Diceros bicornis minor: one gene and its partner. The main gene of each other region encodes a partner of the protein of the gene in region 2 in a complex. Links are inferred from orthologs where the notes say so. Each region holds a gene or a part of one and is shown on either strand. Other genes may lie near its edges. The genes, in order: KNSTRN and SPAG5.

Region 1 (8,576 bases), on a different chromosome or scaffold from region 2:
TGTAACAAACAAAGCTCCATTCCAGGTTGTCAGAAACCTGTATTTTCACTCTGGCCAATCTCAATTTGTGAAGATTAAGTCAGAAGAATAAGACTTCTATGCTAATTGGAGATAGAAACACAAATTCTTTAAATGTGACAGTGCAGTGTGTTTGAAGGTAGCCAAAAGCTTGATGACACATCAGACTGAATGGCCAGAGGGTACAGACGTGAAAGTGGAGATTGATACAAGCAAAGAGCTAAAAAAAGCAGTGTGGTCATCAGCAAGGCAAAACAGAGCTGAACCCTTCATCAAACACCAGTGGAATGGAACCACCTTGCTATGCTAAGCACTCTGCACGCTCTCCTAAGGCTACGCTCAAGCTGCTTGAGTCTCTCTTTTAACTGCTGCTTAGTTGTTTTGACCAGACTGTCTCCCTAACTCCTCTAAGAGACGTCTTTGTGTCCCCAGTGCCTAGTAGAGTACCTGGCATATTAACAGAGGTTCAAAACTGCTTGTTGAATATATGGAACACTACACACCTCCATGGATTATTTCACAGACCATCTCTAAACTAGCTCTTCTAGTCTTCTTACCCCTTTCCATGCTGATCACCTTTCCACCAGCCCTTTTAATTTGTTTATTCAAGGTTCCCTATTTGGCACTCTGTTCTGATCTTCCTGCTAGGCTATTGCCAGATAACCAGAGAAATGGCCCTGCCATGAAACTCCTCTTCCTCAGAGGTGAGCATTTTCCCTCTAGCCCTTACACCAGCCCTCCACTACACATACCACACCACACCCATGCGCTTTTCTAGTTGATGCTTTCACCTTGTTCATTGTAAAATGGCTTGTTTAAGCTTGACCTAAGAGCCACACAATTAAGCCCTAACAATTAAATCAGGTTGAAGAAATGAGGTCCAAAGCACTGGATCACAGGGATTAGGAAATTTTGTATTTGATAAAGATTTAATTTTGATGACTCTAGCTGCATGACAGTTTGGAATAAATATGATTTCTCAGGCTAACAAATTATTTCATTTATAGGTATACTCACCAGGCACTTGCTCCCTATTTTCCATACTCTTACCCACAAAGCAAATATTAAAAGGGTTCTTTTTGAGGTCTCTGTCTGAAGCAAAAGGTAACCTTAGGGGAATGCATGTACCTTCTCCTCTCTCAAGTATTAATAAGTTATACACAATAACAAATCTACCCCATGTAAAAAGGAGTTAATAGAAAATTGATCAAAATTAACACTCTTCATTGATCGAAGTTGGTTCCAATAATCCATATTTGCTAGAACTTAAAGACTGCATTGTAGGAAAAATTTAGCAGAATTTAACAAACACTGTCTTTTTTTTTGCATGTGTTTGTGAGGAAGATTAGCCCTGAGCTAACATCCACTGCCAATCCCCCTGTTTTTGCTGAGGAAGAGTGGCCCTGAGCTCACATCAGTGCCCATCCTCGTTCTTCGTTTACTTTATGTGGGAGGCCGCCACAGCACGGCTTGATAAGTGGTGCGTAGGTCCATGCCTGGGACCCGAACCGGCGAACCCCGGGCTGCCGAAGCGGAGGATGGGAACTTAACCACTAAGCCACAGGGCTGGCCCCGTCTTCTTAAAATGAGAAATGCAGGGGCCAGCCCAGTGGTGTAGTGGTTAAGTTCGCACGCTTTGCTTTGGCAGCACAGGGTTCGCGGGGCCAGGATCCCAGGCGCAGATCTACACACTGCTCATCAACCTATGCTGTGGCCACATCCCACATACAAAACAGAGGAAGACTGGCACAGATGTTAGCTTAGGGCCAGTCTTCCTCACCAAAAGAAAAAAAAAAGAGACCCTAGGGAGGGGAATTGGATGCCTGGTGTCAAGGAAGGCAGGAGACTTGTTTTTCCCTGCATATCATTTTCTAACTTTGGATTTTTTTTTAAATGTGCATATGTTAGTCAAAAAACTAAAACTTAAAAACAACTAACCCATGCTCAAAATCAAAATAAAAAACCTGGGATACAGCCTAAGAATGTCAAACCACTGAGGTTACATATTATCATAACTCTAAGACAGGGATAGAGAGCAAAGAGACGAAAACTTCCGACTTGGCTGGGGAGAGCCAGTCATCAGTCATACCCCCCTGACAGAGGGGCACTGCTCTCGGAGGGAAAGGCAGTGGAAGGAGACATGGATGCAATTCCCCCAGCAACTTGGAGGCCAGGATTACCATTCAGGTGTTCTCTGAGGCAACAGAAGACAAACAGAACAACCCCTGAAGGCTTCGGAGAAAAGTCTATTTACTTTACAGACCAATCCTGCTCCTGCTCATCAACCAGCTGCGTGGAGTCACCTGGGAAGGGATCTTATATAGCTGCTTCAAAATCTCCCACAACAGGCTCTGATGTTTGAAGTTTATTCTGTGCTATAATCTCTAGATTAGGCAGCTCCACAACTGAAGGCCCTAAGAGATGACTTTCAACCACAAGCCAAGTAACACAAAGCAAGATGGCAAAGCCATCAAAAATGTTTTTTAATCATGTCTCTTCTCCCAAGGTTCTGGAATACTCTAGCTAGGCCTGACCCCTCTCTCTCACTTCACTCTACCAACATTTACTGAGAATGTACTATAGAAGAGACACTGTGCATATCAAATGTGAACCACACAGTGTGAAGCCTAGCGCTTCCCCCTTAGTATCCCCTTCTCAAATGACTCTCCTCTCTTCTCCCTGACAACAAACCCAGTCCCTCCAGATAGCCCAAGTCTTGAAATAAAAGGGGTAACTGTTTAAAAAGGGATTCCTAGCTTAATGGGAATAATACTGTAGAAGAATCAGCAAGCGAAATCTAATTGGTGAATCCAGCACGGTTAGGTTTGGGGGAGGAGGGGTGCAGGGCAGGTCTAAAATCCTACCACATGGCCCTTCCCCTAACTCCCATCGTACACCTAGACAGCCCGCTTCTAGGGGAGTTAGAGGGTTGTCAGAGCCGATGAAATGCCCTCCCTCTGCCCGCGCCCCCCATTCCCGGCCTGACCGCCCCAGGCTGGTCCCCAGTGCCCGAGGAGGGCGGCGTGGATACCCACCTGCCGGCAGGCCGCCGCTCAGCACAGAGGGGGGCTGCAGGGTGTACACTGTCTTAACCACGCTGGTCATCGTAACGAGGCGGCACGGCTGGGCCCTGGAAGGTGCAAGGTGAATGTTACCCAGGGTGGGCCAAGGGGTCCGGGCAGGTGGAGGGCCCAGGGAGAGCGCGCCCCGACTCCGGGGAGGACTCGAGAGAGAGAGAAAATCCTCCATTCCCAGCCCACCTCGTCCGACCCCCACACCCAGCTCAGTCCCTCGCCCCGGGAGAGCCGAACCCAGGCGCCTGCTGCTCCTGCCTGCAGCCCTCGTCGCTCTGGTTCGGAAGATGCTCTGCAGCAACTGCCGCTCCGCCGGCCGGGTCTGCCGCCTGGGTTTCAAATAGAAACTTCCGGTGGCCGGGCGGAAGGGGGTGCGGTGCGTACCCTGTAGGCGGCCATCTTGTACTGCAGGCACTGCCGTGGGCCACGCCTTTGGGGGCTGCCATGCTGTACGAGCAGCCGAGCGAGCCGGAGCTTCTTGACGATGGGTGTCCGAGCCCCCAGCTTTGGGCGGGGGAGGGGAGTTGTGCACTTTGCCGGCCTGAATGGAGCTATGAGCCCCCGGCGTCATATTTCGGGCTTGGGACGCACTCGTGGTCACGTTTAGATCCATGTCACAATCCTTCTCTTTATTTGGTCTGTGATTGTTAGGTACATTGCATGATGCCTGATTTCCAGGAGCATAGGGTATTTGGATGGAGGAAACTACATGTTACAGGGTGGAGAGTGGCAGGTGGGGTTTGAAGAGGGCCTGTGGGCGGAAATACCTGAGGTACCTACCTGCAGTCCTGACTTTAATAACTCTTATCTAGATTTTAAGCAGAGATTCAAAGCTACTCCTAGCGAACAGAGTTCTCAGCAGTGCAGAGTTCTCAAGCACTTAATGCACTCATTCATTTCACTCAGCAAATATTTATTGAGCACCTATTGAGCACTACTCGAAGAGGGCTTATGGTGGGCGAGGCAGCAAATATCAAGACTGACCTTGGGTCTGCCCTCCTGGAATTTACAGTCTAGGAAAATAATCACACGAACTTGTCAATTACATCTCAGTTAAGCTGGGAAAAAATCCCGAATAAATATGTATCTACCAACAGTAGTAAAACTCTGAAGGAAAACTACAATGTGCTGTGAGAGAGAAAAGCAGGGAAACCTAATTTAAATTGGGGAGTCAGGGAAGACATCTGAGATGATGATTGATTAATGAAGAACGAGTGGAAGTTAATCGGATGAACAATGGGGGAGGGGGGAGAAATGCAAAGTCCCAAGGTAGGAATGGGCTTTTTTCCTAGAAGGGACTGAAAGATGGGAGGAGTGGTCTAGATAAAGTTGGAAGAAATCAAATGGCAGCCTTTGTAGGCCAAAAGTAAAGAGATTAGATTTTATCTTAAGAGTAATGGGAAGTCACTGAAGTATTAGAGCAGGACAGTGTTATTCAATTTATATTTTAAAAATCTCACTCTGGCTACTCCATGGAGAATGGATTGAAGGGGGGCAAGAGTGGCACAAGGGAGACAGTTGGGAGGTCACTGTAACCATTCAAGTGAAAGATGATGGTGGTTTGGCCATGATGGTAGTAGTGGAGATGTAGAGAAGCAGACAAATTTAAGACAGCTTTTGGAGGTAGAATCTCAGGACCCAGTGCTAGATTGGATGTGGGGGGTAAAGGGGTAAGGGAGAGGGTGATCTTAAGGACGACTCCCAGGCTTGAATAATTGTGTGGATAGAGTCACTATTTTGTCTTGGGGGGAGATTGAGAGTTCAGTTTTGAACATGGTAAGCTTGAAATGCCTCTGAGATATTCAAGTGGAGCTGTCAAGTAGGCAGCTGGAAATATAGTCTTTGAGCCCAGAGGTGAGTCTAGGTGGGAGATATTCTCTTGGGAGTCATGAGTATATGGATGTATTTAAAGCTGCGATATTGAATGAGATCATCAAAGGAAGAAGTGTACAGAGAGCCTTAGGGCCAAGGACAGGGAGAGCAGCATGTAGAAGCTGCAATGATAAGAAGGTGCCAGCCAAGAAACCTGATAAAGAGGTGCCAGAGAGGTGAGAAGAAAAAAAAATGGGTGGTATCCTAGAAGCTAAGAAGGAGGAAGTCGTAAACTGCTGAAGGAGGGAGTGGTAAACTATTGAAAATAACTGAAAGGGCAAGCAAGATCAGAACTATAAAGGATCTATTTAATTTAACAACAAAGAAGTCATTGGTGAGTACAGGAAGAGGAATTCTGGTGGAGAGGTTTGAGTGGAATCACGGTAGTACAGGTCACAGAGTACAGGAGAGATGAGGCAGCAGAGATGGCAAGTGAAGACAGAGTTTGTGAATGGAGTAGAGTAGTTGGGTGGTAACTGGAGGTGGGTTGTGGCAGTCAAAGAAGGGTTTTCTTGAAGATGCAGATACTAGTTGGTACATATGCTGAGAGGAAGAAAAGGATATTTCATGGGGAGATGGGATGATCACAGGAGCAAAGTCATAGAGAAAGGAGAAAGGAAGACGGGATCTAGAGCAGCAACTTCAAACTCTTATTCATGTACCTCCACAAAATAACTTAAAAAAACAATCATCTTACCTATTTTTAGTTGATGCCTAAATTTTTTCTTTTTCCCCAAAGCCCCAGTAGATACTTGTATGTCATCGTTGCACATCCTTCTAGTTGCTGTATGTGGGACGCCACCTCAGCATGGCCGGAGAAGCGGTGCCTTGGTGCACGCCCGGGATCCGAACCCCGGGCCACCAGTAGCGGAGCGTGCGCACTTAACCGCTAAGCCACGGGGCCGGCCCCCTAAATTTTTTCAATTTTAAATATTTGTAAAGGACATACCTTCTACCTATTATATGTTGTTCATGCTCTTTGTTTCTAAAATTCTTTTTTCTTTTAGTGTTTCATTTTGGATAATTTCTATTGCTAGCTCAAGTTCAAGTTCACTAATCTTTTTTTTCTGTAGTGTCTAAACTGTTGTTAATTCCATCCAGTGATTTTTCATCTCAGACATTTTAGTTTTCATTCACAAGTTCAATTTTGTTTTTTTTTTTTTATATCTTCCAAGTCTCTACTTAGCTATGTGAACATATGGAATACAATTATGATAACTGTTTTGATGTCCTTGCTTGCTAATTCTCACATAGGTATCAGTTCTGGGTTGGTGTCAATTGATTTTCCTCCTCACTATGGGTCATATTTTTCTGCTTCTTTGCATGACAGGTAATTTTTTTATTAGACCCCAGACATTGTGAATTTTTTACATTTTTGGGCGCTGGTTATTTTTGCATTCCTGTAAATGTTCTTGAGGTTTGTTCTGGGATGCAGTTACAATACTTAGGAACAGTTTCATCTTTTCAGGTCTTGCTTTTGAGATTTGTTACGTGGGAGCCAGCAGTGTTTAAACTAGGGCTAATGAGTTCCCACTACAGAGGCAAGCTCCTTCTGAGAACTCTAACCAATGCTCCATAAATTATCAGGTTCTCCAGTGTGGCTGATGGGAACTGGCACTGTTCCAGCCCTAGGTGACTACTGGCTACTGTTCCCTCTAGTCATTTTGGGTAGTTCCTTCCTTGGTCTCAAGTAGTTTCCTCACACTTATATGCTGAGCAGTGCTCTGCTGAATACTCCAGGGGGGCCATTTGCAGATCTCTAGAATTCTCTCTCTGTGCACCTTTCTCCTCTCAGTCAGTATTCTGTCCTGACCACTCTAGCTACCTTGGTTGCCCCAGACTCTGAGCTATCTCCTCAGCTCGGGGAGTCTGCATGGCCCTGCCTGGGTTCTGCCTCCCTGTAGTATGTCCTAGAAACTCTCTCAAGCAGTAAGCTGGGGCTGTCACAAGGCTCATCTCATTTGTTTCTTGTCCAGAAGAGATCACCGTCCTTTGTTGTCTGATGTCCAGTGTTGAAAACTGTTGTCTCATATATTTTTTTCTGTTGGGTTGGTTGTTTCAGGAAAGAAGATAAATCTCGTTCCTACTACTCCATCTTGGCTGGAAGGGGAAGTTGTATGTGTATATTAAATGTATTTTTCAGGCCGGCCCCATGGCTTAGCAGTTAAGAGCACGCGCTCCACTGCTGGCGGCCCGGGTTCGGATCCCAGGTTTGCACTGAGGCATCGCTTCTCTGGCCATGCTGAGGCCGCGTCCCACATACAGCAACTAGAAGGCTGTGCAACTATGACATACGACTATCTAATGGGGCTTTGGGGGAAAAAATAATAAAATAAAATAAATGTATTTTTCTTCAAACCATGGAGCCGCAGATTTAAATTATTCCATTCTGGGAAAATGTCCACCATATATCCTATTTGCAAAGCTAGTCCTGTCAAACCCATCAGCCAAATCAGATTGACTTTCCATCAGAAAAAGTATGATTTTGTTTTTCAATTCAAATAAGTGTGGTTATTATACAGGTTATTATCCTGTATCAACCTCTTACTTTTGAATTTGAATTCTTAAATGGAAAAGGCACAGAACTGAGCTACAGGGCTGCCCCTTTGCAACTTCTCATAAAAGCTCTCTAGGCTTTGCTGTCTCAAGGACTTCCTCAAGCAGAGCATTCTCAAGTAGTTCTTTTATTGTTTTTTTATACTGCAGAGTGAGGCGCCAGAATAGGATTCAGAATGAAGGAGGGGGTCAACTGGGAAAGTGGAGGTCAGGAAGGAGAACTGGCTGACCTAAGGCTCCTTCTTAGGCTGATCAATACGAGGAGATGGACCATATGAAGGAGGAAGCTCTGGAAATTGATTCCCTTAAAATTATCTGTATCCACCTACCTTCTAGAAAGTGTTCATGTTCCTGTGGGAATGCAAGCCCTAGTTTGAAAGCCTCTGATGCAAAGTGTGTGAAGCCATTGATGGAGCCATTACTGCTTCCTTCATTTTAATAGAAGGGATGGGGAGAGAAGCAGGCAGGAGCAGAGATAGGTAAGTTAGGGACTTGATGCCTTGAAAGTGAGGAAATGTCTATCTGACGCCTCCAGTTTTCTTTATGAAGAATGAATTTTTTGTCTACTGAAACTGGGGTGCAGGGAGGTGGAGGGCATCAGATGTTTGAGGAAGGTAGAGAGAGTGTAAAATGGTCATTACAAAGAATGGAAAGCAGTAACTAGAACAGAAACTAGCTAGGCAGGGCTGAGGTCCAGTTGAGTTGGTGGTCATGAATTCAGATCTACATCAATCTGCCCAGTGTGTGAGTTTCTTCAGCAATACTGAAGCTCTTGTTTGATGTCTGTGAATTTGCTAAGATGCTGATCTTTTCCCTGTGTTGAAGTATAACATGAATACGCACACAGAGGCCTGATAATAAGTTTATCAAGGTCCTTCTAGTGCTCTTCAGCACAGGGTGGCTTTGGATCACCACCCATTTACATAGCACATAGTGGCTTTCTTTTGTTTCTCATCTTCCCAGTGAATTGAGTTACAATTTCTTCTCTGAAGCATAAACACCTCCAGACTTTGAGTTACAGTTGTCCCTGTGAACAAGGGTGAGGGAAGAAAGGGT
Region 2 (8,230 bases):
AACTGTTGTCAAAGCTTTTTAAAAAAAATTAAATAAAAGCACATTCATTGCATTATCAACCCGTTATGGGCTGAATCCTGCCCCGCACAATTGATATGTTCAAGTCCTAACCCCAGTACTTCAGAATGTGACTGTGTTTGGAGATAGGGTCTTTAAAGATATAAGTAAGTTAGGGCTGGCCCCGTGGCTTAGTGGTTAAGTGCATGCACTCCGCAACTGATGGCCCGGGTTCGGATCCCAGGCGCGCACTGACGCACCACTTGTCCGGCCATGCTGAGGCCGCGTCCCACATACAGCAACTAGAAGGATGTGCAACTATGACATACCACTATCTACTGGGGCTTTGGAGAAAAAAAAAAAAAAAACGGGAGGAAGATTGGCAATAGATGTTAGCTTAGAGCCGGTCTTCCTCAGCAAAAAGAGGAGGATTAGCATGGATGTTAGCTCAGGGCTGATCTTCCTCACACACACACACAAAAAAGATATAAGTTAAAATGAGGTCATATGGGTGGGCCCTAATCCAGTATGATTGGTGTCCTTATAAAGGCACCCTTATAAAGACACCCACAGAGGGAAGACCATGTGAAGCTACAGGGAGAAGACAGTCTCTACAAGCCAAGGAGAGAGGCCTCAGAAGTAACCAACCCTGCTGACATGTTGATCTCGGACTTCTAGCCTTTTGTGAGTTGTGAGAAAATAAATTTCTGTTATTTAAGCCACCCAGTCTATGGTACTTTGTTATGGCAGCCCTCGCAAACTAATACAACCCCTATGAAGAGTTCTAATAGATTAATCAGGAATGATTATTTATTTACAAAAATGCATGCTATCTTCTTCCCTATAGGTTGGTTTTGCTTATATTCTGAGAACATGTAATTATTTTAGATTTCATTGGCCTCTCTATGAGTTTTGCTGGTTTACAGAGCTCCACTGATTAGCTGCTGTCACACTGCCTCCTTTGTTCAGTACTTCATCATACACAGTAGCAGGTCTAGTAATTCCAGTTTCATCCTTGAGTTCACTCAGCTGCCTGGTGGATACTTCTCAGAGTTGCTGATTTGGGTTATGTAATTTGATTTTCATAAAATAAGTAATCTCTAATCAGAAAATTTAAAAACTACAATTGCTTTTAAGTAGTTGGACCCCTACTTCATATCATATACAAAACTTAATTCCAGATACATTAAGGATTTAAATGTGATCATCAAAACATTAAATACCTTAGAAGAACATTTGGGAGACTAGACCTACAATCAAGGGATGGAGGAGATACCTAAACTAAGACAGAAAATGAAAGCACTATAAAAGAAAAAGAAAAACATTTACATAAAAATTTGATGAATGAATAACTCAATCAGATAAGATCCAAATGCTCTAAAACGAAAGATAAACATCTTGACTACATAAAAGTTTTATCTTTGTATGGCCAAAGATATCATTAATAAAGTCAACAGACAAAAAATAGATCTAAAAAATTCTGCAGTGTGATGACAGTTAATGTCTATAACACAGAACTCTTACAAATTAGAAAAGAGAAGTAACATTTTTTTAAAAAGGGCAAGGAATAAGAAATGACCAATCAATTAATTAGATCTATATCAGTTGACTTAGAAGACTCTATACTAGACAGTGAGGAAAAAAATGCAGAAGTGTAAGAAATAATGCCATTTTTGTAAAGGACTCAATACCTTCTTCCCCTCCCTTGTGTGTGTATGAGAGAGAGAGGGAGGGAGGGAAAGAGGGAGGGAGGGAGAGAATGCGCAAGAATGTGAAAAAGGGAACCTGGAAGGGAGAGAGGAGTAATGCAAGTGGAAAGAGAAGAGAAAAAAAGAAAGGCATGAGCCCTCAATCCCAGAGACCCCAGGCTGCACATCAGTTAATTTTTGGGAAAAACAAATATGTGTGTGTAAATGAAGACAAAACCTGTGTGAATGCATATATGTTTTTATAAAGGTATACACACTATTGGTTACCTCAGGCAGGTAGAATGAATGGGGGAGGCTGTGCCTTTAATACATCTTTGCATTGAATTGTTTCTCTTGCTATAACAAGCATCTATTATTTTTACAATTTGAAAAACACCAAATTAAAAAAATTATTATCCAAACAACACCAACAAACCAATTCTGTTTATGTTACCTATTTACAATGGTATTTTCCCTCTTATCTACCCCTCCATCTCTCTCCTAATTTGCTGGCATCTGACATACCAACTGCAACAAGGACTAAGCAGTCCAATTTACACATTTCTATAATACAAGCTAATACAATACTACTGGCACTTAAGAGTTTTCTGTCTTGGTTTTTGTGCCACTTGCTACCCTTGTTTTCTTTTTTTTTTTTTTTAAGATTTTATTTATTCATTTTTTTCCCCCCAAAGCCCCAGTAGATAGTTGTATGTCATAGGTTCACATACTTCTAGTTGCTGTACATGGGACTCGGCCTCGGGTTGGTCGGAGAAGTGGTGCCTTGGGGCGTGCCCGGGATCTGAACCCGGGCCGCCAGCATCAGAGCGCGCGCACTTAACCGCTAAGCCACGGAGCCGGCCCTACCCTTGTTTTCTTTGCTGGATCTTTTCGATTGGCCAGAAGTATACATACCTTGGGATTCCCTCTGCTGAGTCCTGGGCAATCCCAGACTCAAGTTTGTGCTCTTATGTTGTCTTTCTCCCAGTTTTCCATTCAGGCAACTGTTCTCTCTAGTGCCCTGAGGCTGGGACCTTTTTTTTTTTTTTTTTGTGAGGAAGACTGGCCCTGGGCTAACATCCGTGCCCATCTTCCTCCACTTTATATGGGACACCGCCACAGCATGGCTTGACAAGCGGTGCATCGGTGCGTGCCTGGGATCCAAACCTGGGAACCCCAGGCTGCCGCAGCGGAGTGCACGCACTTAACCACTTGTGCCACCGGGCCGGCCTGGACCATTGTTTTTAGAGCTGTGCTGTACAATAGAAATATAATGTAAACCTCATAAGTAATTTTAAATTTGCTAGTAGCCACATTAAAAAGGTAAAAAGAAATGGGTTAAATTAATTTTAATGTATTTTATTTAATCCAGTATATCTAAAATATCTTTCAACATGTAATCGATATTAATTTTTTTTTTTGCTGAGGAAGATTCACCCTGCACTAACATCTGTTGCCCATCTTCCTCTTTTTGCTGAGGAAGATTGGCCCTGAGCTAACATCCCTACCCATCGTCCTCCATTTTTATGTGGGACACTGCCACAGCATGGCTTGATGGGCAGTGCATCCCTCCATGCCTGGGATTTGAACCGTGAACTCAGGGCCACCAAGGTGGAGTGTGTGAACTTAACCACTACTCCACCAGGCCGGCCCCTCTTCCTCTGTGTTGTATGTGGGTGACTGTCACAGCATGGCTGATGAGTGATGTAGGTCCGCACCCCTGATCGGAACCAGGAATCCCTGGCGGTTGAAGCAAAGCATGCCAAACAACCACTACGCCAGGGGGCTGGCCCTAATCAATATTAAAAAATAAGATATTTTACTTTTTCCATACAAAGACTTTGAAATCTAGTTTACGTTTTACACCTATAATTCATCTCAATTGGGACTAGCCACATGTGGCCAGTGGCTGAGGTATTGGACAACACAGTTTCTAGAGGAGCCCATCCCCTGAGGGCCCTACAGTTCATAACAGATTACAGTTCCTCCTCTTGGGATTATTGCCTTTTCCAAACTCATTAAGACTTCAGAGTGTAAATAAGATGCTGAATGTTCAAAGGAACACATTTCATCATAAACTATAACTGTGAATACTTACCTTTAGGCTGTTTCCAAAAATCAATCAGTTTCCTCTTAAATAGCTAGATTTCCCATACAGAGGGGACTGAAGCGACAGTAGAATGCAGTAGTTCGTAGTGTGGGTTGGCATCTTGCCTCTGCCATTTACTCCCTGCGGGGCATTGGGCAAATTACATTATCTATGGTTCAGTTCCTTCGTCTGTAAAATGGGGATATTTATAGTACCTACTTCGTAGGTCCTTACGAGGATTAAAGGAGTTAATATCGATAAAGCATTTGGAACAGTGCCAGGTACCTAATAAATGTGCGATACCCGTTAGCTATTGTTCCAGTAAACTTGTTGCAGGCCCCAAGGTAAGTCCCAAGAACACGCTAAAAATTCTGAAGAGGCTAAATTACAGCGCAGGTTGAGAACTACGTCTCAGGCCCTCACCAACGCAGGACCTGTGCGCGAACCGACCAAGCCTAAGGAAAAAAGGCTACACTCACCTTTCCTTTCCGGACTACCCGGCCCGCTCTTTCTGGTCAAGGCTGCGGCGCGAGGTAACTAAGAGACACCGGAGAAGAGACTTCCTGAGGCCAGGCCACGAAGACCACTTTTCTGTCAGGGCGTGAGGGTGGTCTCCTGGAAGCAGGAGGGATGGATTCCATGACTCTCCTGCTGCTTGGGTACCGTCCCCGAAGTGAGGCCATAAGACTGGCCTCGGGCTTGCGGCACGTCGCCCCTCCTGCCCGTGTCTTTGGTACGGGATCCGCAGAGACCGCGCGCGAACCGCGGTCCGGGGCGGGGGCGTGGCCAATGCAGGCCCCGCCCCCTCACCCGCCGTGTTCGAGCCCGGAGCAAACACGCTAGGCCGACGCACTGAGGCTCCGCAGCCAATCGGGAAGCGCGGAGCAGGTTCAAATTCAGACGGCGGGTGAACATGGCGTCACCCCTTGGGTCTGGGAGGAGATCGGGCTGCGTTTTGTGTTGAAGATGAGGCGGGTGAAAACACTGAACGTTAGCCTGTCGCCTTCGCCTCAGCCGGTGAGTGGGAGAGCCTCATGGAGAGAGAGCTGGGCCGAGGCTTCCGGGGCGGGGGCGCTGGCAGTGCCGAGTGTGCTGGAAAGCTGGGTCGAGCCTGGGGGCGGGGGCGTGTGGAGTCTTTTGTTGGTCCAGACGCTTCAGCGCGACTGGCGTCGAAGCCTACTCTTCTTAGTGCCCTATGGGCTTCTTAGGGAGGGAGGAAGGGCGGGCTGGCAGAGCCAGGCTTTCTTACACTCTCTTTCTTTCTCAGGGAAAACCAGCTGTGAGAACTCCCCTCCGAGAACTTACCCTGCAGCCCGATGCCCTCACCAACTCTGGAAAAGGGGCCCCGATATGCTGCTCGCTGACTCCATCACTGTGCAAACTGGGGCTGCAGGTGAGATTCGACTGCCCAGCTTCTCGACTGGGCTCTTTGCCGAGGCCAAGAGCTCAGAGGAATAGAGGACCCGGGCTGGAACGTAATTAATAACAATAATGAAGTCTTCTACCTCAGTGACATCCATTTACAGCTATTCAGGCCAACAGAGAGGTGCCCTAGGGTGGTTAAAGGAAATCCGCTGAGAACCCAGACCTCTATTTAGATGTTAGTTTTTATCACCTCCTCCCCCATTCAGTCTTTACTGAACTACTGAGAAATACTATCACTTTGATTAGGGGTCTCCCTCTAATATGGGCTCACTTATGGAGAGGTCAGTCAGCTGCAAGAGTGAGGCAATGTCCATCCATTCCAAGAGAGAGTCAAAACTCTCCTGGGATCAAGTTACACCACTGGAAGGCAGAGCACTTGGACCATCTTTGTTTATTTTTATTTATTTATTTTTTAAGTTTATTTTTATTTATTATTTTTTTGTGTGAGGAAGATCGGCCCTGAGCTAACATCTGCCAATCCTCCTCTTTTTGCTGAGGAAGAGTGGCCCTGGGCTAACATCCGTGCCCATCTTCCTCCACTTTATATGGGATGCCGCCACAGCATGGCCTGACAAGTGGTGCGTTGGTGTGTGCCCAGGATCGGAACCGGCGAACCCTGGGCCGCTGCAGCAGAGCATGCGCACTTAACCGCTTGCGCCACCTGGCCGGCCCGGACCATCTTTGTTTAAACTAGCCCCTTGTAGAATTGCCCTCACTGAATTGTACTTTTGTCAAAGGTCTTGAGAGAAGTTGCCATGTAGAAACTGCTTTTCACTTGCTGTAAAACTTGTCAAGGAAGGCGAGTGACCCCTCTATAAGGTTCCTCGAAGAAATTTCCTTTAGGGGCGGGCCAGTGGCGTAGTGGTTAAGTTTGCACACTCCACTTCTGTGGCCCAGGGTTCGCTGCCCGGATCCCTGGTGAGGACCTACACACCACACATCAAGCCATGCTATGGCGGCGTCCCATATACAAAATAGAGGAAGATTGGCACAGATATTAGCTCAGCGACAATCTGCCACAAGCAAAAAGAAGAAGATTAGCTACAGATGTTAGCTCAGGGCCAATCTTCCTTACCCCCCCAAAAAAAAAAATTTAAAAAAGAAATTTCCTTTAGAACTTACTGCCTGGGAAAATTCTGAAGAAATTGCTTTGTTTTTCTCTTTCTGATAGTGACAACTATGTAGTTTACTACATTTTACATTTTCCCTCTTGAACTGGCTTCTAGAAAGCTCAGGGTCAAATTTGATCATCAGGTATAACTACTGCTACTCCCTGAAATAGGAAGATTTTCTTCCTTTTTCTTTTTCTTTTTGTATTTCTTTAACCTGATGTATCCATCTATCTGTTCTTTTTCATGCAGTCTGAATTATTTTTGGAAGGAGAGGGGACATAAATAAAATAGGTTAGAGGAAGAAAGAATAAAAGCACATGGCAGCCTGAGTAACAGATGTATGAGAGTAGCAGTCTTTCTGTTTTTTTTACTGTGAGGAAGATCAGCCCTGAGCTAACATCCATGCCAATCCTCCTCTTTTTGCTGAGGAAGACTGGCCCTGGGCTAACATCTGTGCCCATCTTCCTCCACTTTATATGGGAGGCCGCCACAGCATGGCCTGACAAGTAGTGCATTGGTGCACCCCTGGGATCTGAACCCGGGCCGCCAGCAGCAGAGCGCGTGCACTTAACCGCTATGCCACAGGGCCAGCCCTGGAGCAGTCTTTCTTGAAAGAGCTCTAACACCAACTGTCCAATAGAACTTTCTGGGATGATGGAAATGTTTGATAATCTGTGCTGTCCAATATGGTAGCTATTAGTTAACATGGCTACTCAGCACTTGAAAGGTGGCTAATGTGACTGAGGTACTAAATTTTAAGTTTTATTTAATTTTAATTTAGATAGCCAAAAGTGGCTAGTGGCAACTATATTAGTACAGCTTAGGTAGAAAAGAAGTAAGTACTAAGTGGGAACTGATCTTCATAGAGCCTATAGAATTTAACCACAGCCATTTAATCACAGTAGCAAAATAGACTTCAATTTAGGTCTCCCTACTCTTAACTGGAGGGCTTGTTACCTCCTGATATAGTCGGCAATATAGACGAAGTTTTTTCCCCCCAAAAAATAACTTTTTTTTTTACTTTTTAAAACGTGATTATTTTTATCTTAGATGTTCATTGTTTGAAATATTTGAACGATGTGTAAATATAAGGATGAAAATGTTTCTGCCATTTTAGATAACTATCATATTTGAAAATCCTTTCTTGCATCTCTTTATGTGTATCTATCTGTGTGTATATGTTTATATACACACATATCCATAGATTATCATATTACTTTTTTATCAGGTCAATTTTTTTTCCCTTTTCTCTCTCCTCTCTTTCCCTTTTTTTTTGGCTTAGCTCCACTTTTCCTCTCTCTTTTGCCCCTCCTCTGGAATTAATCCCTCCCACACGTGCCCTGCTCTTCCCAAGAAACCAATCCATTTTAACATCCTAATGTGTATACTTCCATATTTTTCTCTGTGTTCTTTTAATAATATGCAAACATGCATAATTATTTTACTGATAGGATCACAATATACAGTCAGTTCTCATTATTTGTAGTACATATGTTCTATAAAGTCTCTGTGAACACTTACTTAGCAAATACTGAACTGCTGCTCATAGGGGAAATACAGGATTATATTCCTGCAAGCTTCTGATCAAACATTTTCATTAACCAATCAATACATGGTCTTATTTTATGTGTATATTCCTGTTTAAAAACACCTTATTTTTATATATATTGTTGATTCATTAACATTGAACTTAATCAACAATGTTCATGCTTGAATGAAGTTTATCTAGCTCACATAAGACACATCACAGCTTTCTTGCACTTGGGAACACTAGCCAGCACTTCAGCACTACATTTGGGGGCCATTTGAAACAGCGAAGTCACCAGCAAAAAGCACAAAAATGTGAAAACCGTGGCACTAAATAGATCGTGAAAAAGCCATTTGTTTAGGATATGAGAGCTAAAACAAGAAGGCAAAAT

The links.
Region 1: SPAG5 (region 2) and KNSTRN share a complex: the UniProt entries of both Homo sapiens proteins name them as parts of the astrin (SPAG5)-kinastrin (SKAP) complex. The link is inferred for Diceros bicornis minor from reciprocal best matches to the Homo sapiens genes SPAG5 and KNSTRN.

What each region holds. Positions count from the first base shown.
Region 1 is NC_080744.1:38,258,579-38,267,154, reverse strand, and holds the start of KNSTRN (small kinetochore-associated protein), read right to left. Parts: upstream 3,539-8,576; coding exon 3,330-3,538; intron 3,149-3,329; coding exon 3,054-3,148; intron 1-3,053. UniProt on the Homo sapiens protein: Essential component of the mitotic spindle required for faithful chromosome segregation and progression into anaphase.
Region 2 is NC_080757.1:18,898,719-18,906,948, forward strand, and holds the start of SPAG5 (sperm-associated antigen 5), read left to right. Parts: upstream 1-4,678; 5' UTR 4,679-4,740; coding exon 4,741-4,791; intron 4,792-5,041; coding exon 5,042-5,167; intron 5,168-8,230. UniProt on the Homo sapiens protein: Essential component of the mitotic spindle required for normal chromosome segregation and progression into anaphase. Required for chromosome alignment, normal timing of sister chromatid segregation, and maintenance of spindle pole architecture.